Lytechinus pictus: one gene and its partner. The protein of the gene in region 2 purifies or fractionates together with the protein of the main gene of each other region. This does not show direct contact. Links are inferred from orthologs where the notes say so. Each region holds a gene or a part of one and is shown on either strand. Other genes may lie near its edges. The genes, in order: F-box/LRR-repeat protein 15-like and cryptochrome-1-like.

Evidence for each region.
Region 1: the proteins of cryptochrome-1-like (region 2) and F-box/LRR-repeat protein 15-like purify together in Drosophila melanogaster (affinity purification with western blotting; 5 studies listed by BioGRID). This does not show direct contact. The link is inferred for Lytechinus pictus from reciprocal best matches to the Drosophila melanogaster genes cry and jet.

The regions. Positions count from the first base shown.
Region 1 is NC_087262.1:19,957,311-19,965,247, forward strand, and holds the start of F-box/LRR-repeat protein 15-like, read right to left. Parts: upstream 3,312-7,937; 5' UTR 3,122-3,311; exon of another isoform or gene 3,014-3,121; intron 1-3,013.
Region 2 is NC_087263.1:14,452,235-14,460,413, reverse strand, and holds the start of cryptochrome-1-like, read right to left. Parts: upstream 3,473-8,179; 5' UTR 3,445-3,472; coding exon 3,315-3,444; intron 1,056-3,314; coding exon 916-1,055; intron 394-915; coding exon 251-393; intron 1-250. Other genes in the region: uncharacterized protein LOC135157674, read left to right, coding at 7,398-8,179. UniProt on the Drosophila melanogaster protein: Blue light-dependent regulator that is the input of the circadian feedback loop. Has no photolyase activity for cyclobutane pyrimidine dimers or 6-4 photoproducts.

The DNA of each region.
Region 1 (7,937 bases), on a different chromosome or scaffold from region 2:
CATTCCTACATTGTTTACACTTAATTTTCATCTCATATTAAATTTATGAGTTGAACTAGTAGAGTAATCAGGCGTTACCATGGCAACATACCATTACCATGCATTCAAATGAACTTATCCATGCAGAACACTCTGTTGTTGTTTAATTTAAATATATAAATTAAATGAGTTGCTCGAACCTATGTAGATTGTTTTGCATTTTCATTGTCATTTTCCACCTTTAATTTTTTCCCACCATAATGTTGATTTATGATGGCAATTCAATAAATGCCCCCAACGTACATGGCCAAAGTTCATTGACCTTAAATTACCTTTGACCGTGGCATGACCTGAAACTCACTATAGGATTTTCACTGACTCCCTTATTTCTAAGTTTCATGATAGCTATAGAAACCTATAGGCCTATTTCAAACTTATGATTACATTTCACAAACTTATCCTGTTTTAAGATTTCAATGTTTACGACGCCGTCGGAAAAAGCGGCGCCCTGTCTCTACAGGCAATCAATTGTATTTTTCTGCGGGAAAGATAAGCCGTTACCATGGCAATGGATCTTTTGCAAATACTTTGATGACTTGATATATCTATATCTAGAAATTGAATTTGGAAGGCTTAAGAATGATAGATAGGACCATTTAAATTGACATTAAATATGCCATATAGGCCTATAGGCTCAATATGTTATTTTTTTAAAACATATTAATCAGTTGCCATGGCAACGGTGGAAGGAGGCATTTATGAATTTGGCAACAAGCGGATTCATGTTCAGCACCATAAAAATATAGGAAATGACACAAAAAATCAGATTCTAAAGAAAAGTCTACTTGAAAAATTCTGACAATTCTGTTTAGACCCTATACACTTACAATGATATCATTATCATACTACAGTCAGGGTGAGCGAAGTTAGGGCAGGCTGCTATCTCAAGGTATGCCCTCGCTAATTCATTCACACAACAAATATTCATTCTAGAAAAAAATGTCATGACGACATATCAGGACCTCCCGCACCTTCGACTCTCACATTTTCATTCATCATATAAGAATATAAAATTTTTCACTGTTTTTAGGAGTTTTTAAAGTGATTGAAAAAAACCTTAATTTGGTGCAGTTGCGGTACAGTTGATCGAAGTTCAAACAGTTATCGGGTTACTTTACATTTAACGCAGTATTTCAAGATTTATTAAGGGATTGATTTTATTTTTCCACACTTCGGTTTTTCATGTAATGGTCTCCTCTTGGGTGCTTAATTATGCGAGTATACTAAATAAGGAATTTGGGACGAATTTAAAATGATAATCATAATAAGCAGCGTGCGCATCGCGCTTGTGAGGGTGAGCGAGAATTGGGCAGCATACGGTACCCCATGTCTGCGCACCCATTCACTTTGCACACGATTCAGGGATTTTGATGAGAAAGGCTGCATTTTTAGGCCATCACATGGAATGTCTAAATTTAATTATTTTTCCACCATTTTGAGTCGGATTTTTCAATGAATATCTGTATATGTGTTGCATGTGTAAAGTTTGTGTTTGTTGCGTATCTTCTTTAATTAGATTTAGAATCGTGCAGATACGCGTTTGCGCAGACAAGGCCAAGGGTAGGGACCTCGTTTATTAGTGTGAGTGGGACTGCGCAGACTTTGACCTTGGTCTTGGGGCACCCATGGGTTCATACCGTCTCGCGTGCGAAGGAATATCAGTCATATGCACGCGACACACACAACACATCCAAAATATACTGGGCTTTTGCCCACATAAAATATCACGCATAATCTGGTATTTCACATTCTGCTATGACACTTACCAAATCATTTAGATCCTTCCGTGACTTCTCCTTGAAGTTTCTTTAAAAAATATGTATATTTTCTTGATCTTTAGTAAAGATTTCACTGAGATAAAAATTGGTCAGCGTGGATATCAATTTTCGCCTAAAGAGGGCGCGCGATTTATATTCATATCAAAGACACGACAAGGGAAAGACTAGGCACCTACACTATTTTACACGCAAATCGACGCAAGGCATTACGCGAAGTCCGTGAAGTGTCCGATCTTTTCAATGTATAGACTTTAGTTTGGTATACCGTATTATTGACGTTCGTTAAAGCTTGTACTGCTGGTTTCGTTCCAGGCATGTGCTGATGTGTATTTTTTTCAATTTCTTTTTATTAGTCATCGTTTTAAATTAATTGCAAAAAAGTGTTATCATCGCCAATAGTAATCTTGAATTATGTTTTTGAAGGTATTTCATTTATTGGTGTCCATAATTAGTAAATTAATCATAAGAATTGCGCATTCAAAGAATTTAGACACAGTTATAAAATTACCGAGGAGCTGAATCAAGGTTGTGAAATTTATTAGCGCCACCAACGGGCTTCCTTGTATTTCCGTAGAAAAGACAAACGAAGTCACTTGCTAGGCCGAGGTAAGGGAAATTTGCTCTTTTTGTAATGAAATTATTTACAAATCATATGTATAATTTTCTAAGGTATTGGCAATTGCTACTTACCGGAAAGAGCCCCGGTGCGTAGCGAGAAGGAGTTTCGGCAAATATTACTTCAGCAATGAAGCGATGTTTGCCGACTACTTCAAAATCCAGGGTCAAACACGGTCCCTTGTACGACTACGAGTACGAGGTTAGTATATATAGTAGTACCTCGTATCGCCTAGTAGTATTACTACTTAGTCTGACCATATTGGTAGGTCCATGGTCTGACTTAGTGTGAGTGGTCTTCAAGTTGGGCCTGGCCTTGGGGGGACTTGCCATATAACAAAATTGTGGAATAAAATAATTAAAAAGATACCAGTATATAAGGTGAAAAAGAAAAAGTAAAAAAGAAATGTAAGAAGTTAAACTCATTCTGCAAAATGCAGCAACAATTTTATGATATTCGAATTCGATCTTGATATTAAGTCAATTGACCGACTACACATGCGATTTTTAAGCACGCGTGTAGCACTTATTCATCACATTTCTGTGATATCATCACTCGAATAGCACAGGGGCTAAATCACCTTACAGTTACCGGTACATAACCATGATGAGATGTCACGACCTAGCCCTAGGTGATCTTGGATGATAGGATAGCCAGGGAGCCAGGGCCAATTTATGCGGCTTTTTACCTGCTCTCTAGATCTCGAAACCCTGTAGATAGTCTACTGTCAGATGTTACAATCTTCAGGTTAGCAATCCACTTCAGTCAATATTCAGAGATTTATCTACAAAAGTACAAGTCTTCAGTGACACTGACAAGAATATCCCTTGATATTTATTAATTTGGGCGATTGCACTTTTGAAAGGGGATGATGAAAATGAATAAACTTTGATATCAGAATTTGTATTTTTTTACTACCTTATTGCAATATATCTGATATTTAAATATTAATTGAATAACTTAAGATTTTATTTAAATATATGTTTACAAATATATGATTATTCATTGTGATAATCTTAATTCTGTTTTCTATTTTGATAGGAGTTAAATACCGGTAGGCCCTACTGAAAAGTCCATTCATCCCACAACTAGTAGAGCACCCATTTGTGTGGGGTTGTGTGCTGCAGATACTGATATTTTACAGCCTTTACATGCTTTAGGAGAAAAGACCTCCTTATTTGTGACGTTATCTTGTGCTATTCATATTGTAAAATTGGTAAGCATTCGATTTATTTGTAATACTAATTTATCGGCACTGGACATTTCTAGTTATTGACAAGACAAGTCTGTTCAATCTCAGATCTGTTCAAATCAGTCCCATACATTGGCATTGCTGTACCGGTAATTACTCAACTGTTTATTAATTTAAAGTTAGTGTAATTCGCGTGGCGCGTGGGTGTGTGAATGATTGTATTTTGGGGGTATATCCATGGCACAAGTCTTGCCGGTACACATGCCTACAATTATTCTTTAATTGTGAGTAAGCTTTTTACATTTTTCATAAGATTTTTTTTAGATGAGATGATGAGAAGATTAACTTCTTTGTCCTTTGACAAAGTCTTGATTTCTGACTTTTTTATTCTAAGTAAAGAAATATCATGCCCACCCCCAAAAAAGAAGAAGATATAAACAAGAAAGGAAAAGAATAGGAGAGCAGAGCAGAAAATAATCTAGACAGCTGGCAGCCGTCTGTTTCGTGGAGTTTTTAAACATTTTTTAAAATTTCTCCTCGTGCACAGACGGCTCGCGAACGTGCAGCCGCCATTAGGGGGTTAAAGCTCAAGTCCACCTCAGAAAAATGTTGATTTGAATCAAAAGAGAAAAATCAGACAAGCATATTGCTGACAATTTCATCATGTAAACTAAGAAAATTATGACATTTTAAAGTTTTGCTTATTTTTCACAAAATATTTTATATGCACAATTTAGTCACATGCAAATGAGAGAATCGATGATGTCCACCACTCACTATTTCTTTTGTTTTTTGTTGTTTGAATGATACAATAATTCAATTTTGACAATAAAGACCTATTTGACTGAAACATAAAATGTTAAACAATTGTAATTCCACATGTTCAGGGCAAAATTTTTCTTACGCGTGTCGGAAACCCGCCGAATCGGCGGTGGCCAAATTTGCACGTGATGTTTTGATTTTCACATGCGCTGCGCTTTGATCCGATCCAAAGTCAAGTTTCATTGCCGAACCGCGAAGTTCAATAGATGATGTAATGCTGTTTTAATCGGCGGCGGACACCAACCTAAAACTGATATCGGCGAAAATATTGGAATGTTAAGTTGTTATTTATCTCAGAATTTAGGGGTCTATTTTTTTTTCTGGATATGTTTTAAACTGTTTTGAGGTGTTAATGAGTTAAAATATATTTCATATGCCTTTCGTTATGGACTCCCGTTCTCCGAGAAGAAATATATATCAGGCATTATTCGTAAATTTCTTACAACGGCGGAAAAGAAAATAAAACAAAATAGAAGTCACAAACATCTCAGATTAATGAGCGATCGATTTGGGAATGTTTTAAAATTATTTTTGAGGTCCTAACGAAATGAAATATATTTATATACCTTTCGCTATGACCTCTCTAAGAAATATTAATGATGCACTATTTTGACAACGGCGGGAAGGATTATCAAACAGAATAGAAGTCACAAACATCTCAGATTAATGAACGATATATCAGGACATTTTAACATTGTTTTGAGGTGTTAATGAGTTCAAATATTTTTAATATACCTTTCGTTACGGACTCCCGCTCTCCGAGAAGAAATATAAATCACGCATTATTCTTAAATTTCTTATACAACGGCGGAAAAGAAAATAAAACAAAATAGAAGTCATAAACATCTCAGATTAATGACCGATCGACTTGGCAATGTTTTTTAATTGTTTTTGAGGTCCTAACGAGTTGAAATAAATTTATATACCTTTCGCTATGACCTCTCTACGAAATGCACTATTCTGACAACGGTGGAAAGGATTATAAAACAGAATAGAAGTCAGATTAATGAACGATATATCAGGACATTTTAACATTGTTTTGAAGTGTTAATGAGTTCAAATATTTTTTAATATACCTTTCGTTACGGACTCCTTTTCTCCGAGAAGAAATATAAATCACGCATTATTCTTAAATTTCTTACAACGGCGGAAAAGAAAATAAGACAAAATAGAAATCATAAACATCTCAGATTAATGACCGATCGATTTGGGAATGTTTTTTAATTGTTTTTGAGGTCCTAACGAAATGAAATATATTTATATACCTTTCGCTATGACCTCTCTAAGAAATATTAATGATGCACTATTTTGACAACGGCGGGAAGGATTATCAAACAGAATAGAAGTCACAAACATCTCAGATTAATGAACGATATATCAGGACATTTTAACATTGTTTTGAGGTGTTAATGAGTTCAAATATTTTTAATATACCTTTCGTTACGGACTCCCGCTCTCCGAGAAGAAATATAAATCACGCATTATTCTTAAATTTCTTATACAACGGCGGAAAAGAAAATAAAACAAAATAGAAGTCATAAACATCTCAGATTAATGACCGATCGACTTGGCAATGTTTTTTAATTGTTTTTGAGGTCCTAACGAGTTGAAATAAATTTATATACCTTTCGCTATGACCTCTCTACGAAATGCACTATTCTGACAACGGTGGAAAGGATTATAAAACAGAATAGAAGTCAGATTAATGAACGATATATCAGGACATTTTAACATTGTTTTGAAGTGTTAATGAGTTCAAATATTTTTAATATACCTTTCGTTACGGACTCCCGCTCTCCGAGAAGAAATATAAATCACGCATTATTCTTAAATTTCTTACAACGGTGGAAAAGAAAATAAAACAAAATAGAAGTCATAAACATCTCAGATTAATGACCGATCGATTTGGGAATGTTTTTTAATTGTTTTTGAGGTCCTAACGAAATGAAATATATTTATATACCTTTCGCTATGACCTCTCTAAGAAATGCACTATTCTGACAACGGTGGAAAGGATTATAAAACAGAATAGAAGTCAGATTAATGAACGATATATCAGGACATTTTAAAATTGTTTTGAAGTGTTAATGAGTTCAAATATTTTTTAATATACCTTTCGTTACGGACTCCTTTTCTCCGAGAAGAAATATAAATCACGCATTATTCTTAAATTTCTTACAACGGCGGAAAAGAAAATAAGACAAAATAGAAATCATAAACATCTCAGATTAATGACCGATCGATTTGGGAATGTTTTTTAATTGTTTTTGAGGTCCTAACGAAATGAAATATATTTATATACCTTTCGCTATGACCTCTCTAAGAAATATTAACGATGCACTATTTTGACAACGGCGGGAAGGATTATAAAACAGAATAGAAGTCACAAACATCTCAGATTAATGAACGATATATCAGGACATTTTAACATTGTTTTGAAGTGTTAATGAGTTCAAATATTTTTTAATATACCTTTCGTTACGGACTCCTGCTCTCCGAGAAGAAATATAAATCACGCATTATTCTTAAATTTCTTACAACGGCGGAAAAGAAAATAAGACAAAATAGAAGTCACAAACATCTCAGATTAATGAATGATCGACCTGGGAATGTTTTAAAATTGTTTTTGAGGTCCTAACGAGTTGAAATAAATTTATATACCTTTCGCTATATATGAACTCTCTAAGAAATATAAATGACACATTTATTCTGACAACAGCGGAAATGTAAATAAAATAGAACAGAATTCACAAACATATCACTAAACAGATCACTTGGATTGTGAAGCGTCTCGGCTTGATAGGGAGGTATAAACCGGGATATAAATGATAGTCTTTAATAAAATTGTTGATGATTCATAATATATTTGTAAAGAGTTTTGATGTGATAACGACATGATTTATGATATAAAATAATTCTTCGAAAACCAAAATGAAGCTCACAGCCAAAGCAAGTGATACCTCCTTCGACATTTATAAGGTACATTACGTAATACCTTGGATGACCAAGCTGGGCCAAGTCTGTCATCAAGACACTCGACAACATATTGAGATAATCTGTCGAGATTTGCTGAACCATTAAATCAGGTAAACATGAGATAAAAATCGTTTCTCTTGGGACTCATTTGGGCAGCCACTGAGGTGATTTTAAAACATGAGCCACGCGAGCAATTGCCTTGGGTGGTGATGGACATTTCATTGATTTCTTTTTTAATCAGCGACTTTACAAATAAAAAATAATAATACATATTCTAATAACTTTTTAAATCTTTGATGGATTTTCCTCAAACTTTCACCAATATTTATCTTTTTTTTTCTCCTATCTGTACAATAAACTTTTTGTCAGGGTGAACTCCCCCTTTAATGATCGGTCACTTGGAAATGAAACCTACGTATCATGAACGTGTTTTCAGTTGGGAAAATTTGGAAATTGCAAAATCACTTATCGTTTATTTCTACCATGTTTATTTTTTAAAGAAAATTGAGACTTC
Region 2 (8,179 bases):
ATGGCTATCAGAATTCCACCCAACAAGATTATTGTGTAGCAGATTTAAACATAGCCTTTCTTATTCTGACCAAAAATGCTGAACAAAATTCAAATTTGGTAAAGCAAAATTTAAATGGAAGAATTTAAAAATGGGAGGATTCCAAAGGTGGAAATTGTTGAAATGCACAAATTACACAAATTAATTACAAACATATCACCTCAAAAAATGTCAGCTTATACGGTATAAAATTTTTGTAGTGTGAACTTACTGATCAGGATTCCAAAGGGTGTGAGAGACCCTCTCGATGCACTCAACGTTCATCTCCTTGCAAAGTGCCTTGACCTTACAATCTCGCTCCGTCCATATGGGTTCCGGGTCACTCTCAAAGGTTAAATAGCGGACACCCCATTCCTTTAAAATAAAAATAAAAAAATGTATTGATGGTTAAATAGGTTCACAGTGCTAGGTTGGATTCAAGTTGCATTTGGGTTGTATCCAAATCGATTTTCTTGCTCAAGCAAGATCTTGATTCTTGCAAGCCAATTACATGCGCTAGCCGTTAAAAAAAGCATAGAATCAATTTTTTTTTAATGAAAACTTTAATTTTGTTTATAATAAAAACTCCTTCTTGTAGAGAAAATATCAATACTGGTTTGTTCTTTTAGTAATTCCAGATGTGGCAAAAAGCAATCACCTCTTTAATACTCTCAGGTGAAGAGGCAAACTATTACTTCCTTGGCAAGTTGGATGTACTCGCTTTCTTTCCTCAGCATTGCAAGGAACTTTATTTTTAAATAGCTACATGTACATCCAGCTTGCCTGGAAAGTGACAATTTTCCCACCACCTTCACAAATGCCAAAATTTGCATGTATTTGCTTACTACATTTTGTGACATACTAAAAATAAACCACAAAGTAAAAATTAAAACTCACGAGGAACATTTCTCTGAAGATGAGACAAGGGTCTCCTTGAAACACAAACAGTCGCCCTCCGCCTGCCTTCAACTGCTCATCAATATCCGCCAGGCAATCGTGAAGAAAACGCCATCGGTTGAACCCAGATGTGCTTGTACCTACATGTCAGAAAAAGATGGATGTCATTGAGTTAGTGAGTATTAGCCTGTATTCTTGATTCAGGTTTATGTAATTCATGCTCTGGATTATTAAAAAAGGAAACCAAAAGCCAAGAAGAGAAGCAATTTAATTGGAAAGAGGAACACAAGAACAACAATTTAAATCAGGTTTCATCAAAATTGGTTATGGACATTTAAAAAGTCTTGCTGTACTTTCTATAGGGCTCCTCAAATTGACAAACATGCTTCAAAATGGCTAATTTTGTGGACAACCATCCATTTGTTTTGCACACAAACTTTCAGATTTTCCCCTTTATTTTACATATTTCACATCATCTCTTCCTGACTTTGACATACATGTATGTGGTGTGAATTATATTTTCCCATGGCATATGTCATGCTCAGAATAAGGCAATATGCAATTTGAAAGATAATGGGGAAAATCTGAAAAATTGTGTACAAAACAAATGGAGAATTGTTCACAAAATCAGCCATTTTGAAGCGTGTTTGCCCATTTGAGGATCCCCATAGAAAGTACAACAAGACTTTTTGAACGTCCATAACTCGCCTATTTCACAACCAATGTTGATGAAACTTGTTTTCAATTGTTCCTCTCATTTTACTCTTTCCAACAAGAATGCTTCTCTTCTTAGGTCTTGGTTTCCTTTACAAGTTGTGGTTTAACTAGATGCATAGCCAATTTTGACACAAATCTCTAACAGTGCAAGTTGGATTAACAGGTTTGATTTTACATGTATCAGCTCATCTGTCGTTCAGATCATTCATACAGTATAACTTTCTGGGAACTGAATTAGTTTTCTTTGCCATTAAAGCATGATGGAAGAGCGGGGGCATCGTGGTCTATTGGTTACGACTCGTCTTTCAATCTGAGGGATGTGGGTTCGATTCCCAGCCACGGCAGTTTTTCTTCAGCAAGACATTTACCGGTAAACACAAAACAACCCAGGTGAATGGGTACCTGGTAGGAAGAAATTCTTGGAATGCTTGAGCGCCTACATGGCGACTCGGCTACAGCCGGGGTAGTAACATGATACCAAGTGTCAAGTGCAGTAGAAATAGTAACTGTGCACTACAAACTGTTCATATTATTATTACTATTGTTATTATTATTATCATTATTATTATCATTGACATTATCATTATCATTATCATAATTATTATCATTATTATTATCATTATCATTATCATTATCATTATCATTATCATTATCATTATCATTATTATTATTATTATTATTATTATTATTATTATTATTATTATTATTATTAATATTATTATCATTATTATTATTATGGTGGAAGATCAGAGTGAACACAAGAAACGTATGCAAAGTAAACAAAATCTTTACATTTTCAGCTTCCTATAATTTTAGCACAGAGTTGGACCAGTTGGCCTAGAAAGTTAAATCAGATTTCAGAATACTGGCCACTGATTTTGTAAAATATTCAATTTAACTATTATTCAGCTGGTAGTTCAATCATAATTAGCATTTCATAATAATATAAGCGCAAAAATTGCACCCTTATATTAATGACATTGCTACTTTATGAGAGATTGGTAAAAATTGCTTGGTATATACTTTTCGAAAACAATAATTTCAATCTTAAAAACAATACCAACATCAAAGAATGTGTTTCTGTCAATCACAAAGTCATTCAAAACTTTAGAACACCTCTATAGAACATTTTTTTAAATCTTGATCAAGGTGGTATACATGCTGAATTTAGTTTGTTTTTCAGCACTCAACAGATATAAATGTATTTAAATGTCATTCATGTTTTTATGTATAATTATATTGCTGTACAGATGAGCAACCAGAATGAAAATATACTGGTAGTTTACTGTTGGTTGAATAGTCTACATGTACCTGTACTTCTGTGATGCAATACATGAAGGATGCCAAAGCAAAGAAAAGAAAAAGTTCTAAGAAAATGTCTGGGTTCTCAAGAATAATTACAGAAATATTGCCTGAAATCTATGCAGGGAAATACATACAAGTACAAATAACAGAATCAGCACAGAATGCATACAATTCTTGCAATGCAAAAAAAAAAAATTCACAAAATAGTTTTATTATACATGTACACAATCAAATCTGAAAAAAAAATCTGAGAAATGGTTTACATGTACATTGTATTGTTACCGTAATAGACCTTGAATAATACATGTAGAAGTGTACATGCGTTCAAGTAGAAATAAACACGTTTGCATTGTCCCTCGTACAATGCATTGACATACCTGCCACTTCGTTATCGAAAATAAAGATGGGATAGAACTCCGTCCCCAGGGTCATGCCCTCTAGCAGAGCCGGGTTGTCATGGAGACGTAATCCATGGCGGTACCAGTGGATGCATGCTCCTCCAGGCATCTTGACGATCACAAGGATTAGTTAAATCTGATCGGAGAGAAACAGAGAGAAACAGACGAATAATCATGAATATAGAGAGAATGGTGGCACACACGTCTTGGCATCAACTGAGGCATACATGTATGATGGTGGGCCCCAAGTCTGCGCACCTAACAATTTAAGTTAAGATTTAACATGGATTTCTTCTTATTTCACAAAATCTTTCAGTTAATAATGTTCCTTATATTATTATTAGTAAGTGTACCAAATTTCTCATTAAAAACATGAAAGAAAATATAGGATTTTCTTGAAAAAACCTCGGGCTGTCATTTTCAGATTGAAAAAAAAAATGGTACCCCATGTCTGCGCACTCATTCACTTTGCACACGATTCGGGGATTTTTATGAGAAAGGCTGCATTTTGAGGCCGTCACATGAAATGCCCTAAATTAATTATTTTTTCATCATTTTGAGTTCGATTTTTTAATGAATACCTGTCTATGTATTGCATGTGTAGAGTTCGTGCTCGTTGCGTATCTTCTTTTACTAGAATCGCGCAGATACGCGTGTGCGCAGACAAGGGGGACTGCGCAGACTTGGGGAAACTTGCCATACATGTAGTCTACAGGCATAGACCCTAATTGACACCTTGATTTGAAAATGATGATGATGGTGATTAAAATATGGATGAAAATAAAAATAATAATGTTAAAAAAATAATAATGTAAAACATTTACTAAAGTAACACGAATGGGAATATAAACAATAACATTAATAAAAAATATTAGTGAAATGCCTCTGGCAGTCTCATTTGTTTTTATAGGCAATTGATACATGTACCTGCTGACTTTGAAAACAACTTAAAGATGAGTAAATTATTCACTAAAAAACACCATTTATATGATAATAAAATACTAACTTCATTGACCTGAAATGACCTTTGACCATGATCATGTTACCTGAAACTCGCACAAAATGATAAGTGATAGCTGGGAAGTGTTTCATTCATCAACATTTTTGTCGGACAAGTTGTCAGATATGACAACTTCCCTTGATTTTGATTGGCTGAGAAGCGCTGTTACTATGGTAACTGTTGGATAAAATGGGACTTGTCAGAAAAAATGTCTGACAAGTCATTTCATGAAACGGCAACGCTCCCCTGATTACCCTCAAGTCAAAGTTTCTTTTAGATCCATTACTTTCAATGTACGAACACAATTTAAAGGACAAGTCCACCCTGCAACAAAAAGTTGATTTGATTAAAACAGAAAAATCCAACAAGCATAACACTGAAAATTTCATCAAAATTGGATGTAAAATAAGAAAGTTATAACATTTTAAAGTTTCGCTTAATTTCACAAAATAGTTATATATGCACATCCCGGTTGGTAAGCAAATGAGGGACCTGATGACATCACTCACTCACTATTTCTTTTGCATTTTTTGAAATATTCTAATTTTCAACTCATTTTCCTGTGAAATAAAGTTTTATTTCTCCCTGAACATGTGGAATCACCAATGTTGTTTAACATTTTATGGTTCAGTCAAGTTGGACCTAATTGTCAAATCTGTAACAAGTGGAATGCCTCTGGCAGTCTCGCCTGCATTACGCAATGCGATATAGCAGCAGTGCTTCCTTTGAAAATAGCTAATGAATATTATTCACAGAAGAAAACACTATGATAATACAATATTATGCCCATTGACCCAAAATGACCTTTGACCATGATCATGTGAGCTAAAGACATGTGCAAAACAATTATTCATACTTGATTATCCTTATGTCGATGTTTCATGAGCTAGATCCATAAACTTCCTTTGGAACTTAATGATGCCAATTCAACACATACATGTACTCCCAACATGGCCAGAGTTCATTGACCTTTAAATGACCTTTGATCTTGGCCATGTTCCTGAAATGCATACAGGGTATTCAGGGATACACTGCTGCTCTTATGTCCAAGTTTCATGAACTAGATCCATAGACTTTTAAAGTTATAATGACAATTCCTCAAATAACCCCAACATGGCCAAACTTCGTTGACCCTAAGTGACCTTTGACCTTAGTCATGTGACCTGAAACTCGCACATGATATTCAGGGATACATGGTTACTGTAAGATTTAGAAAGTGTATTTTTTCTTTGAAATATTTAACATGACGTCAGAGACGTTATTGAGTTGTAGCATCATTTATCTGGGTCGATAGAGGGCGTTGGAAATTGGCCTTGCCAAGATCGACAAAGATTTAAAGTTCAGCCCGTCGTGACTTTACAGTTAGAATTCAAGATAATCGGTACAAGTCCAATGTTGTAAGTAAAAGGACCTTTATATTTCCGTAATGTAATGTTTAACTGAATATATGGAGCCAAAATTAACTCGAGACGATAATTAATTTGTTGTTAATTTAGCTCATAACTTTGGTGAAAGTGTTTGGAGTTTACGTATAGAATACACGTGTGATAAACGTATATTGACATTGTACATTGATAGGTACTTGGACATGCACATGAAGAGTGTTGCGTAATAGCATATCGGTACGGTACTGTGTGGTAATCTCGCACACAGTGCATAGTAGGCTATTCATGTTCAGAGTTGTAAACGAAATGGAATGTCAAATAAACAAATGTTGTTCTTTGTTAGCTACATTGGTTCTAGTTGTTGAAAAGGATACAGTATATGTATGAGTTTGGAAATAAGGCATTAAAGCCAGTTTTTTGGTGCATTTTAAAGCCCTGATAATTACAAATAACACATACAGTGAAGGTGAAATGAAAGCCTAGTTATTGGTTTGAGTAAAGTTATTGCTAGTCAATAATGCCTCAGAGTATATAGTTTAGAGGCAAGGTAATATTTAAGTATCGTAGTGGATATAAAGGACAAATGAAACGAAGTCAAGGTTTTGTTTATTTAACCGCATATTGCAAAGTTTATTCAAGGTCATTTGGAATACATTGACAGAATTTGATAGGTATGTTACAGGAAACCAGAATATTATTTATGCAAGATTCAAACGTCACAAATAATTTGTGCAATACATAGACTATTTATTTTATCTCATGCAAGTACATAAATGTAACTGCATATACAGATGCTTATTATTGTTTGTTTATATTTTTATGCTACAGATTGAACATGCTCGATGGTATGCTCGATGGTATGCTAGATGGTATGCCCAGATTGTATACTTGATGCATCGTATGATAACTGGAAATTCCGCGTCACCGAGTCTTTTGTTTGAGTACTGTCTACTGTCAAGTCACTAGTAGTTATACGTCACATAAAGTTCAATAACAATCGTCACCGTAAGAACAGTCGTCACCGTCACCGTCAAGAACAGTCGCCATGAGTGGATCATCTGAAAGTATCAAGTCGGAGGACTCGGCCAGCCAAGGTGGTAAGAGTTCAACAGCGTCATCGAGGATAAAGACGAAGGCCAAGAAGGCAGCCCTGGCAGCAGAGCTAGCATCCTTGAAGGAACAGCATGAGTTAGAGCTTCAAGAATTTCATCTACAGCAAAAGAAGGCACAGTTTATGTTAGAAACTAAGCTCAAAGTTGCAGCAGCAGAAGAGGCTGTATATGAACAATTTGATCAGCATCCCAGTCAACTCGACGTTAAGATTGAACCCACAAGTGAAGAACTTGGTCAACAGCAGCAGCCTGTTCAGCCACAGATTCAGGCCAGCGAGCGTGATAACAATGTACCGCACGAGAATTTGGAAGACACCATGCCATACCCGCAGCACAACCAAGATTTGTATCAGTATCAGCAAACACAGCATCGTTGTTGGAAGCAATAAGCCTGTCAAATGTGGAGATCATGAAGTTTAACGGTAATCCTTTGCACTATCATGAGTTCATAGCATGTTTTGATAATTTGATAGGCTCGTCTACACTAGACAGGGGGACAAAGCTCATGAAGTTGTATCAGTGCTGTGAAGGGGATGTCAAGAACATCATACAGTGTTGTATGGTAATGGATCCAGTGCTAGGATATCAACGCGCCAGAGAATTACTGAGAGTACGCTTTGGCAGTAGATTTAAGATAGGAGAAGCATGGATCGAACAGATAACTAATGGTTCAACACTTCATGCAAATGACAGAACTGGACTACGCAAGTTCGCTGATGAATTGCAGGTATGTCTTGAGACTCTTAAGGCATTGAATCTAACAAAGGAAATCAGCAGTAACAGAGAACTGGTCAAACTGGTAGAAAGACTCCCATTTCATCTCAAAGCTAGATGGTTGAAAGTAGTGAGAGACATTAGACAAAGAGGCCGATCTCCAGATATCACTGACATGGTGAAGTTTGTATCTGATGCCGCCGAAGAAGTTAACGATCCAGTCTTCGGTGAGCTGACTGCGACTTCTCCAAGATCAGCATCTAAACCAAGCTTCAACAAGCATAATTCAAAGAGCAGCTACTCTACAGCAGTCACTGATAATTCAAGCTTTCCTAAGCCCAAGAAGTGCTTCAAGTGTTACCAAGACCATACCTTGTTTGGTTGTGACAGCTTTAAGTCTCTGACACCTGATGAGAGATTTAAATTTGCACAAGAGAACAGACTATGTTTCAATTGCTTGCAACAAGGTCATACCAGCAGAATTTGTAAGTTGAACCGAACATGCTCAGTACCAGGATGTCAGAGAAAACATACAAAGTTTCTCCACTTATTTCGGGAAAGCTTGTCACCTGAAAGAGGTACTCCGCATCAAGAGATAGAGAATCAGCCTCAACCAAATAAACATTTGAGATC